Linked DNA regions of Arabidopsis thaliana. The protein of the gene in region 1 purifies or fractionates together with the protein of each later gene. This does not show direct contact. Each region holds a gene or a part of one and is shown on either strand. Other genes may lie near its edges.

Evidence for each region.
Region 2: the proteins of ATSMC2 (region 1) and AT1G32730 fractionate together in Arabidopsis thaliana (co-fractionation; one large-scale study listed by BioGRID). This does not show direct contact.

What each region holds. Positions count from the first base shown.
Region 1 is NC_003074.8:17,484,628-17,492,561, reverse strand, and holds the start of ATSMC2 (Structural maintenance of chromosomes (SMC) family protein), read right to left. Parts: upstream 6,073-7,934; 5' UTR 5,798-6,072; coding exon 5,480-5,797; intron 5,392-5,479; coding exon 4,711-5,391; intron 4,634-4,710; coding exon 4,490-4,633; intron 4,413-4,489; coding exon 4,122-4,412; intron 4,042-4,121; coding exon 3,856-4,041; intron 3,776-3,855; coding exon 3,611-3,775; intron 3,533-3,610; coding exon 3,473-3,532; intron 3,239-3,472; coding exon 3,176-3,238; intron 2,788-3,175; coding exon 2,696-2,787; intron 2,567-2,695; coding exon 2,470-2,566; intron 1,995-2,469; coding exon 1,878-1,994; intron 1,737-1,877; coding exon 1,518-1,736; intron 1,392-1,517; coding exon 1,251-1,391; intron 1,174-1,250; coding exon 1,006-1,173; intron 773-1,005; coding exon 588-772; intron 420-587; coding exon 326-419; intron 240-325; coding exon 151-239; intron 69-150; coding exon 1-68. Other genes in the region: NOA1 (P-loop containing nucleoside triphosphate hydrolases superfamily protein), read left to right, coding at 6,313-6,711, 6,793-6,978, 7,055-7,141, 7,215-7,294, 7,391-7,472, 7,620-7,640.
Region 2 is NC_003070.9:11,838,842-11,843,855, reverse strand, and holds AT1G32730 (electron carrier/iron ion-binding protein), read right to left. Parts: upstream 2,947-5,014; 5' UTR 2,780-2,946; coding exon 2,658-2,779; intron 2,365-2,657; coding exon 2,303-2,364; intron 2,020-2,302; coding exon 1,932-2,019; intron 1,714-1,931; coding exon 1,611-1,713; intron 1,509-1,610; coding exon 900-1,508; 3' UTR 548-899; downstream 1-547.

The DNA.
Region 1 (7,934 bases):
CTCCCTCTGGAGGTTCTAATTTTGACATGGTGCCAGGTAGTAGAGTTGAAAAGATGGAACCAAAATCCCTAACGATAAGGATCCAACTTTAAATATCGTAAAGAGAAGTGAATCACATGGTTAAGTAAAGAAACTAAATAAGCAACTCACTGGTTAACTTTAACCCATGTAACTTTCAGTGTTTCTTTTTTCTTCTCATCAAGCTCCTCAATAACTTTCTTGATTTTTGATTTGTCAGTCTAAGAAAATGAAAAAAAAAAAAACATAGTTCGTAAATGTGTTTTAAGCTTTTTAAACTATGTTGCACAGACCCTCCAAAACTAACCTCGATTATATTTTTCTTGGTCATAAGAGCATTATATTCATCTTCAGCTTTCTCAAACATAGCCGTGACCTTCTTGTTCACTCTTTTCTCTAGACTTTATAAGAGAATGAATAGCCAGGAAACGAGAGGAGAGATTTCTCATTTAATTAAAGAGAAGAAACAAAAAAGAAAAATAAAGCACATTCCATTGATATTGCATTGCATGAGAGTGAATATTATATAAGTTGCAAAATTAAATCTATGACTATCCTTAGAAACATACCTTGATTGATCTGTCTGGAGTCTTTCAAGTTCTTCTCTTGCTTTGTGAGGATCGCGGGATTCAAAATCATAGTCTGTCCCTCCGTTTCCAAAAAGCCGCTTCTCAGATGTAATCCATGTATGCTTCTCAACAAGTTTGTCTACCTTCACTGAACAATTCTTGTGCTCCATCTCCATCCTTGTCACCTACTCAGAGTAAAATGTTCTCCCATGAGTATACAACATCTTCAATTTTTTTATAAGCCGAATTACCAGGAAGTCCTAATACTTATATCCACCTCTATCATCCAACACCCAGTCCTACTTCAATATTAAAGTCAAAGTAATTAAGTGAACCCAAGACATCTGTCATTAGATAGGGAGAACGCTGCAAGAAATAACACATGTATTTCCAGACAAACAAAGTGAAGAGGGCAGACCTCATTTTCTAACTTCTTTCTGTCAAGCTTCATGTCACTAATCTTCTGCAGACACTTTTCCTGCTCTGCAATAGAACCACTAATCTGTGTATCACATTCCTTCATCTTTGCATGTATCAACTTGAGCTCAGAGAGAGACTGATCATGATCCTTCTGTATGGCATCCACCTGCAGAAGGGTCACATCCACATGTTACTCGTATATTCTTTATAGTTAAAAGACACAGATAGAAATAATTGCAGTACCTTGGCTCGTTGATTGCCCACATCTGAAGCCAGAGTGCTAATTTGCGTCCTCAATGAAGTTAGCTGGCTCTTTAAATATGACTGTTCCTGCGTCACTGCTTCTTGCTCCATCACAAGCCTCTCCCTTACGTTTTCATGACCCTATGAGCAAGAAGAAACATAGACCAAAAGCTATGAAGCCATTTTAGAAATGTAAAAGGCAAAAAGTTGGTAAACCAGGGGTCCAGGACAAAGAAAAAGAATCTTTGACTGAAAGATCTGGGATACCTTTAGATCTTTTGAGGATGCCTGAATACGAGCTTTTAGAGTTTTAATATTCTTTTCCAAGTCCTTGAGTCTTCCCTCTCTGTTCTTATCATGATCTTTGATGGATTTCTCCAGCGTGGAGACAGTATCAGCACAACTTTTGTAAAGACCTTCCTTCTCTTTGATTTGGGATCTCATTTCTTCAACCTCTTCTTCAAGTTTCTTCACTGCGTCACCAAGCTATATATACAATTGGTAAAAGGGAGTGATACTATAAATATGTCTTTTAGCACCAATAGGAAGGGAAAAAATATAATTCGGAAATTTAAGCTACAAGGATGTAGACAAATGGAGATACGAAGACAAGAAAAAATATAAAACCTTGTGGTGCTCGTTCTGTTCAGCCCTTTTTAGAAATAAGGACATGTCATACATTTTCAGCTCCAACTGTGCTTTCATGTCTGTGAACTTCGTTTGAAGAGGCTGAAGCTCCTTGATCTGCAATTTGAAGAACATGTAGGGTTTATGCAAAACCATATAACTTGCAGTAGGAACCCAGAGTCGACAACAACATTATGTGGGAGCCTTCACAAACATAATTGAGTTATCAATAAATCCTAGAAAAATAAACATGGTATATCAATATGCTGCAATGGCACTAACTAAACCATGTTTCATTTGAACCAGAAACAACCAAACTGATTGACTATCTAAGATGATGAGACATCTAAATAAGGTTCAAAGTGTCAGTTTCAGCAGCTAAGATTATATTTTCTTTTAGATCACCAATGAACAGACATGAGCCTCGAGTTCCCAATGACCCAGATCTAATTCTAACCTGAAGAAAATGTATATGGTTTTACTTCAAATGGTTCGGTAGAAATTCTATGGCGCCTAATTCAGTTGTCAAAGGCCAAAGTGTCTTTTTCTAAAAGGAAAGCAATAGCATATCAAAAATTGAAGAAATATATACGTTTGCTTCAATTTCAGACAAACTTTTCTGATGTGCTCGAAATTTTGTTTCAGCCTCGGCCAGATCATGAAGTTGTCTTAGCAGATCACCTCCACCCCTGCAACAGAGGAATACAAAATATATAATGTTTTTGGTCAGGTTATAGGCCTTGCTGAACCATATCTATATGAAATCAAGAAGATGAACGCCATGAAGATCTACTGGTCTAATAGAAAGAATGACATACTTGCGACTTCCACCAGTAAGAAGACCACTTGGCTGAAATACATCACCTTCAAGTGTAACACTAGGAGTCCGAATTTCCCTATTAAATGCTACCTGCCGAACAACCATTTGAGACACAAATCAACGAATGAAATATCTAAAGAAAACAGAGTAGTCTCAATATAAGGAAGAAGATAGTACGGAAAATAAATTATGTCTGACAATTGCAAACCAATCAAATTTTGAGCAAAAAAAAAAATTTATTTGAGAACGATGAACATATATGAGAACTATAGGAATTAAATTTTGCTAGAGTCATATTCCATTAATATAAAGAGGGAAATCGCCGGTCCAAGTTTTGAGAGAAGATTGAGGTGATGACAATATAACAAAGGCCCAGCTGAAAACACATGTCAAGTAAGGTTGTTATATAACCAGCTTAGAATACAGCTCTACACACCTCAAAAAACACAGGGTACTCTAATGTCTAGGAAATACTTACTTCCTTAGCCGCATCAGTAGTTTTGCAAACAAAAGTGGAACCAAAAACATATTCCATGGCATTCTGCAAAAAGTTAGAGAATGTCAAATGAAATTGAATAGTTGGATTCATGGTATCAGTCTGTCCATAACTAAATGTTCTAAAACACAAAATCAGCAGTTACACAGCTCATGAGTGAGAGGATTTAATTGTCTGCATTGCATAATATAAGGTTATCAGAAATTTGATAAACTAATAGATGATGCAAAATTGCAAATGTATCAGATTCTTGGTACTTTGAGCAGGCAACCAACCCACCTTTAATTCTTCACTATAACCAACTAAAGAAAGTGCCAATTCCGCATTACCCTTTCCAACCTGGAGAAATTAGCAGAAAATCAGCAAGGAACAAAGAAAGAGTTGAATTTGACAGTAGAACAAAAAAGATCCACATACTAATTTAACAGTGGCTTGCTGCACTCTAGGTGGAACTAGGTGAGACTGAATTTTGTTAAGAGGAATAATTGTAACTCTTCTCCGAAGATCACCCTTTTGAAGGAGCTGTTTTCCAGTATCTTCTGTGTCTACAATAACATTAAATAACTTCCCACCAGCAGTAACCTGAAAAAATAGTCACCTTAGAGAACTCAAACAATCTGACAAAGTATAATAATATAACAACAATATAATAACTTACTTACCTCCAAAGCTGTCATTGAGGACCTATCATTCACTTTTATCAGTTTTGCAACCACACCTTTCACCTTTGATCGATCAAAGTTTTTCACAGGATCGCGGTATGTAAACTGAACATTTGCTAATTGAGCCGAAAGTTCGTGCACTTTATCTTTCAGCCTGTGCCCAATTTCAAGTTCTGATTCTCGATCCTAAGAAAATTTGAGTCACAGATGTATTCATTATGTAACAGAAGAAGAAAGAAAAAAAATCATAGGGAAAGCATACTAACCTTCTCCAATGCTTCCATCTGACCCTCTTTATATGGAAGAGAATCAAATGCCCTTTTTACACTTTCTACATCATTTTTTCTAGCATCAAGTTCATTTTCCACTGCAACAGCTTCGTCTTGTTTTGACATTAACTGAGACTTTTTCTCTTTTAGTTCCTTTTCACAGTGACTAATTTTGGTATTCAGCTGCTTCAACTCCGTTTCAGCTGTTCCAACAGAAATCTTTGCATCACGTAGTTGATCTTCGAGACATTTCTCTTCATCTCCACTACTCTTACCAGCTAGTATACCCTAATTATCAAGGGATGTAAACCCAATTAACATACAAGATAGGTTCAGTAAATAAAGCTTCTACTTATTAAAACTACCTGGTGTTCTCTTTCACACTCTTCCAATGTGGTTGAAAATTCCTGGAATTTTTGTTTTAGTTCTGCTGCTCCTTCGTCACACTTGTTGAGAGCAGAAGCTCTTTCTTCTACAGATTTCTTCAAATCTTCTATATTATGAACCATCTAGCAACACCAAAAAATGTCAGAAATAGCTGAGAATCTGTAACAATTTCAACCCAAGGTAATAACTGTCAGGTAACCTTTTCAGCATTCTTTTCTTCGCCTTGAAGGGTGTCCTCCATATTAGTAAGCTTGGATAATTCACGTGTCACTTCATTAGACAATGAATCAACTTTGTCAGACAAAGCTTTTACTTCTCCTCCCATACTAGCTTCCCTTGCTTGAGTCAAAGCTTTAATCTGTTTCTCCAGTTCCGATATTTCACCCTGTGTCTTATCTGTCTGCTCATCAATACCAGTCATTTTTATCTTCATTTCTTCAACAACATGTATCGAATTATCTCTAATCTTCTCCGCTTGCACATACTCAAAAGCGACACAAAACCTCTTTAACCGATCTAATTCCGCATTACCATTAGCCCACTGCATATACTGCGACTTTTCTCTCCTCAACTTCTCCAAAGCTGGCAATATATCTTTCTCAAGAAGCTTATTAATCTCATCAACCTTAGTTTGCTTTTTCTCCAACGTCTTTAACGCAGCCTCTTTCTTATTCTCATACATTCTCGTACCAGCAGCTTCTTCAAGCATAGATAAAATCTCCATAGGTTTCATGTTTAAAACTTTGGTAATACGCCCTTGCATAATCAGAAAATGAGGATTGTTCACATTAAGCTGCACCGAATGGAAAAGATTCTGAACTTGATTTGGTTGTGCAAGCTTCCCATTGATCAAATACTTGTTCTTTCCACCAACTACAATCTTCAAACACACACAAACAAACAAAATTCACTCTTAACAAAACTTAAAAACGAAACCTTTTTTCACTAAAACCTTAAATAAGACTTACTTGTCTAGTTACTGTAATCTCTGAATGATCTTCATGACCTAAAGGACTTCGATTTCTCTCGGAATTGTCGAAGGTAACTGAAACAGTGGCTCTAGTGATTCCAGCTTGTCCTTGCTTGTAAACGAGTTCCTGTAGATTAGCAGCTCGAACTTGTTGAAGATTAGTGATACCTAGAACGAAGCAGATGGAATCGAGGATGTTGGATTTTCCGGATCCGTTTAGACCCGTAATCGCGTTGAAATGCGGGTCAAAACCCGGAACTACTGTCCTCGTTGCGTATGATTTGAAACCTTCCAAGCATATCTCCTTTATATGCATCTTTGTTGTCTTCTTCTTCCCCAAATTTTACCCTAATTTAGAAACTAAACCCCATAAACCCTAGAAATGGAAACCCAGACGGAAGTATCACAACAAGCTTCCGAAATTGAGAGCGTAGATTCAAAATCTAACCGTTGCAGGAGAAGTAGAGACGAATCGTCTAACTGAATTCTCTTTGAGAGGATTATTACAAGCAAATTTGAATTTTTCTTTTTTCTTTTTTTCAATTTACCAAATAAAAAAACATAATTTTCTCTTTAAAATTGGGCCTTCTGAGATTTGGTAGCAAAAGAGCGGGAAACTGAATTTCTAATCTATACCCTAATTTTGGATCGGTTCATTTCGGGTATTCGATTCCGGTTATTTTGTCCCGGGCGGATATAACCGTCTCCAATCAACCAGAGGTTCTTCTTTCGAGTAAAACCTCTGTACCAGTTAGAGTCTCTCTTGTTCTCTCTCTGGGTTTAATAGATAACATAACAACAAACAACAGCTGGTGAGGAAAAATCTCAGCAATGGCGCTACGAACACTCTCAACGTTTCCTTCTCTTCCTCGTCGCCACACAACGACGAGACGTGAACCCAATCTCACCGTCATTTACCGTAATCCGACGACATCAATCGTCTGTAAATCAATAGCTAATTCAGAACCACCAGTTTCACTCTCGGAACGAGATGGATTTGCGGCGGCTGCTCCAACCCCTGGAGAAAGGTTCCTGGAGAACCAACGAGCTCATGAAGCTCAGAAAGTAGTGAAGAAAGAGATCAAAAAGGAGAAGAAGAAAAAGAAAGAGGAGATTATTGCACGGAAAGTTGTTGATACCTCAGTCTCATGTTGTTACGGCTGCGGAGCTCCGTTACAAACTTCCGACGTCGATTCTCCGGGATTTGTCGATTTGGTTACTTATGAATTGGTATGAATTCGAGCTTGAGAATCTCAATTTTGAGTTAGTTGATTGATGAATTAGAGATGGTTTCTTCTGTGTTTATTGTAGAAGAAGAAGCATCACCAGTTAAGAACTATGATATGTGGAAGATGTCAGCTATTGTCACATGGACATATGATTACAGCAGTTGGTGGTAATGGAGGTTATCCAGGTGGGAAACAATTTGTATCAGCTGATGAACTTCGTGAGAAACTTTCTCATTTACGCCATGAGAAAGCTTTGATTGTTAAATTGGTGAGTAGATATTGTTAGAATGAACTTCTCTTTTCTGTTTTATGTTCCAAGAGATCGTCAACTTGTTGTGTTGCAGGTTGATATAGTGGATTTTAATGGAAGCTTTTTAGCTCGTGTTCGTGATTTAGTTGGAGCTAATCCGATTATACTTGTTATAACTAAGGTAAGGTTTTATAACATGGCTACTTCTTCAATTCTTTCTAACTATGGTAAATAATTGTGTTTTGTATTGTTAGATTGATCTTCTTCCAAAAGGAACGGATATGAATTGTATCGGGGATTGGGTTGTGGAAGTGACCATGAGGAAAAAGCTTAAGTAGGTATCAAGTACTTATCTACTATGGTTGTTGCTAGAAAGTGATGTAATGTTTCTGGAGCTAGTGTTTGATTTGGGTGTGATATAACTTTTCAGTGTCTTGAGTGTCCATCTCACAAGTTCAAAGTCCCTGGATGGAGTTAGCGGAGTTGCATCAGAGATCCAGAAGGAGAAAAAGGTAGCGTTTTTTTTATATATTGCACCACCTTAAAGCTGTTTTCTTTAGCGTACATTTTGTTTCCATTATGGCTCAGTGTCGGACAATATAACCTTCTCTTTATTTACCTTCTGTAACCTGACCTCTGTATCCCTGTTTTTGTTTCAGGGACGAGATGTCTACATTCTGGTATGTGCATTCGTAATTTTGTCACCAACAAAATAGAGTTTTAGTTTGTAAACCTATTGCTAACTGATGCGAGTTCTTACTATTTACTTAATAGCTTAACACACTTTAAATGATAGAGGCAGTGCTTAGTGAAAATCAATTTTCTCGGATGTCCATCAGAACAACAAACTCGACACAACACTGCTCGATATGATCCACTAATTCATAAATTCGTTTACTGGAGATAGAGGCTATGCATTTATAAAGAAACTTCTTTGACGGTTTAGAAAATATTCATTTATTATTTCTTCATAC
Region 2 (5,014 bases), on another chromosome or scaffold:
TTTTTTATTTTTTGGAACTTCGGATGGTACATTGATGAAGCTACCAAAACCAAGTACTAAATGTGTTACGTATTATATAACTTTTTAAAATAAATACATAATAAAAATTAATATTGAAAATGATTACACAATTATCTTACAATTAAAAATTGTTACACCAACCCTTCGTAGAAATATTAGGTGGTAACAAAAATAAATTAATGATTATTGAGAGCTTAACTTATAATGAGCTCATTTGAGTTGTTTGATCCTCAAGTCCCAACCACCAACCCATAACCCATTCAACATGTTTCCAGTTGGTTTGCATAATGTAAATGAATACTACACACACGAGACAACCACAACATGCATATATGAATAAGATATATATGGTTGAAATTGGAAACAAACTAAACGTTATTTTTACTTTTTAGTTCCACAAAAACTTTTGGATATGTTTTGATCAATAGTGGAATTGGGGCAGCAAAACAAAACTAGAATCTAAGAGTTTGGTTTTAGTCGTTTTCAAATATACGTGTTGAAAGTGGCCTATGGATGGATGGATTCATTTTTTTCCAAAAAAACAAACCGGTCTAATTAGACTGAGCGGTTATCCAATACCAAACCAAACCAACTATTTATTAAGTCAAAGGTAATCCAATGAGCAATTTCAAATCTAACAAAGCAACAACACACAGTGAAAAAAATCCAATGAGATAGAATCAACAGCTTTATCCATGGCTGAGTTCTAATATCTAAATGATGCTCAACACTACTTTACAAGAATCTCTTGAGTCTTTGGAGTCTTCAGGATCAGTTTTGAGGGATGTTTGATCATTGTACAATACCGTGGTCACGAAGGATCTAGAAATTTTCTTGCCACTCAAACTTTTCAGTTCATCCACAGGATGTTCTCGACTTCACAACATTCCAACTTTGTCAAAAGATTGGAGATTCTCAGCGATTTTTTGAAGTGCTTCTTCACTCATCTCAACTTTTCGGACTACACCCGGAAAGATCTTGTTCTTCTCGGAAGCAGCAGTGGGAGAAACTTGACCACAGAGCTTTGATTTCATCTCTAAGCAAGATTTGAGATCCTCTTCGGTTCTTGCTTTGTTCAGTTTATCGATTATTTCATTCAAAGCTGAACCTTTCTCTTCCCATTTCTTTCTTTTGACCCGCCTTTTGATATCATCTTGATCATCTGAAGAACTGCCTAAATCCAGTCTCTTAAGCTTCACCAAACCGGCTTTGACTGTCTCCGCGATCCGCTTCTTAAAGCTCTCTGTTCTTGCAGAGTTCGATCTCAGCCTCAGTTTAAGCTCTGAAACAATATTTTCCTCTTTGTTTTGCTCAGGAGCTGCTGTTCCATGACTCTCTTCATCAGGAACAGATGTAAATGAAAATGCTTCTTCGAGTAAATTCACATTACTCATGTACCGATCAAAAGCTTCATTTTCTACTTCAATGTTTCTGTCTCTGTACTCTTTTAGCTTTGTAAACCGCCACTCGTTTAAAGCTTGAGCATCCTATAGAATATAGACAGAACAAAAACTGATAAGAGGAAAACAACTAAATGGAGATTTTTCATAGAGTACTAAAGTCAATGAAAGACGTCTTAATTAGTATACCTTTATCGTCAAAGGTTTTCTCTGGCGGGAAGAAGCATTCAGGTTATTAAACTGAGCAAAGTTGCTAGAAAGTTGCCGGATTGACGAAACTCTAGTGGTACTCCTGAAACAATTTCCAAAAGAAGAAAACGTCAACATAAAGCGCCATATTTTAGTTCCACAAGACCAATATATCATCTCACTATCAACTACGTGCAATAAAACAAGAAAGCTGAAGAATCTCCTATCAAAGTATTAGTAAGCAAACACCGGTTTATCATCTAAGATTCACTTGCCCATGGAAGCACAAACAAAACAGAAAATTAGTTTATATATATGTACCCGGGAGTGCCCTCGGTTGCTTTCTGCTCTGAAGATGGAGTACTTGGCGCCTGCGTCTTCTCACCAGACGTTGAAGCTACTTTAAGAACTGCAGCGAAATAAAACACATAAGAAGAAACACAAAACAGTCCATGATAACATCTCTATATCTCTCAGCTAATCACAAGCACATTCCAAGAATCAGTCTTATGGTTCTTTATAGGTTTTTTTGTCCCGAGACAACCAAACGAACCCTATAGAAGTCAAGAATACTAAACTCTAAACTTACCAAGTGAAAGAATAGAACTCTCCAATCAAAGTTATCAACACTAAACTCTAAAACTGATCACTTTAGCTAATTATGAAGTTGAGATTTGACAGGGCAAACATACCGTGAATCGGGCAGGGATTCTCTGCTCTTGAACAACAACCCTTACAAGATTGAAAAGGGCACCTGCATTTATCAAATCCAAGCAATACAATTACAATTACTTCACCAATAATCTCAAAAAACTGATCTTTCGATACTAAAGCTCAAAACTTTAAACAATCTCCAACAGATTAATCACCAAATCATGAATAAAAACCCAAACCCACAAACCTATGAACCCTAAATCAAAACGAAAAAGTACTATACAAGACAAATTCGAATCCTTTCAGATCAAAAACCCAAGAACAATCCATAAATCGAAACCCCAGATGTAAAAAACCTAAGTCCTTCGATGAAACAATGCGTAGAAGCAATACCTGGAGCGAGCTACATTGCCGCATTGAATACACTTAGGCTTATTGAGACCACGGAGAGTTTTGGGAGGCGTGACGACGGAGGAAAGACCATTGTTACTCAGAGACGGTGACGAAGTCGCCATTGATAAAAAGTAACGGTTTAAATTAAAACCGTTATTCAACGAAAGAGATAACTAACGACCAAATAAAACTCGTGCGAGTGAGTAACAAAAAATTTGGAATCGAAAGGATTGGTTTTTATTTTTTTTTGTCGCTCTGATTTTGCGAAGTGCTCTCAATCGCTCGATTTCACGGCGGGTCTAGGGCTCCGGTTATTAATAATACCACGTGAGTCGTTTTTATATGGGCCTGGGTTTTAAAGCCCAATATAATTTCTCTTTAAATTGAACCGAACTTAACCAAATCATGAACTTTATCCGGGATCAGACTTGTCAGATAAATCAATATAAGCCCAAAAAAAGCCCAAGTAATTAGGTTATTCTATCGAATCAGATTCACATATATATAGACGTTATTGTTCATATGAACAATAGAACATCAATCTAAATAATTTAGTGTTTGCCGTTTGGGCAAATCTTTTTCTTCCTCATCTCTTCCTTCGCTTTGCTTTAGAGTCTTTTCATAAGTAAAAGAAACAAAAACAATAAATCATTCTACTAATTGACTTGTAACTCGAAGCTTTGATTTGGACGTTACAAGTGGTATCAGAGCTTCACACTAGAAGCTTCTAGATAGAAGTCAATTTGGCAGACAAAACAATGCATTTAGATTTTGGTGCATTCAACTTCAGAGTGTTTTCATATTTTTATACTACTCTATACTATTTTGCAATTGATATCGCTTTCTAACTTATTATTCTGATGCATCGATCGCTATATGATTATATTGCGTAACCTTGGCTGATTTTGCAGCTTCAATATACTTAGAGTCAATTTTGTACTTGGCTGATTTTGCAGCTTCAATATATTTAGAGTCAATTTGTATGGACTTGCAGATTTGGATGGGTTAACACATAAAAATATAGTTTATACTTTATAGACATGATTATTTAATTAATTAGTTGATTTATCATTGGTTTTAGATTTAGTAGACTATGAGGACTGTCAAGAGTCCACACGACGATCAAACTAAACAACTCTGATGATAATAGAGACTACAAAACAAAACAGAACTGAACAATTTTACAAAACAACAATTAAAAAGTATAATTTAATCGGAATAATAATATTTGCTCACCAATATATAAATTTTAATTATTCTTCTTCTTTTTATTTATTTGGTAAATATTTAACCATCCATTCATGATTTAACGATTACAATCGAGATAAATACCATTGGATAACAAAATATTACGAAAGATTTCCTCACCAATTCTTCGCGACATAGTGAACGTACATCTCTCAAGTTGTTACTTGTAAATTGCAATCATTCGCATAATCTATGTTGCATGAAAACGGAAACGGAAATGCGGATACGAAACGTTTCGGAAACGGGAAACGATTTTTTCTTAAAATTAGGGATTGGAAACGTTTTGGAAACGTATACACATTTATACATATATATAACATTATATATATATATATAACATTAACATAAAACTATATTAAAGAAAAAATGATTTAAACAATACAAGTCCAAAATATCAATATTAAATAAATAAACTAAAATTCTAAAAGATAAAAATTAAAAGGTTCAAGTTCAAATAGTTAATTTAGACCAACATTTTCATTAGTTTTATCAAAGATAATATAAAGCTCTTTTCAAATCTGGTTTAACAAAAGAAAGATCTTAAAACTCAAAGTCTTCCAAAATTATTTATATGTAATAATAATTTTAATATTTTCAATTTTAGTTATTAAATTTTTAAAGTCAATAAAAAAGATTTGTCGTATGTCTATTTCGGAAACGTGAGTTTCTATTTTGGAAACGTAAGTTTCCATCGTGTTTCTAAACCTAGATTTTTAGGAAACGCGTTTCCGTGACGTTTTTCGTATTTCCGGAGAGTTTCCGTTTCCGAAACGTTTCGGAAACGAGAAACGCACCTCGGAGCGAGTTTCCATGCAACCTAGCGCATAATCTTGCAAAAAAAAACATTAATACATAGGCCTTGGTTATTTTTTAATCCAACTTCTCTATAAATTGAACCTGAACTTAAACCAAATCAGAAATACATAAATCGGTCGGTTTGTGAGGTATTAATCCGAGATATGAGATATTTTTTCTTTTTCTTGTTAACAAATTAAAGGAGCAAGAATCGTCCTTATCAAGTAAGGACTTGATTTTCCAAAATATATTTGAATTCCTTTTTTGTAGGATCTTTTGTGGATCTAGTTGGCAAGAGTGATGTGTATATAAAA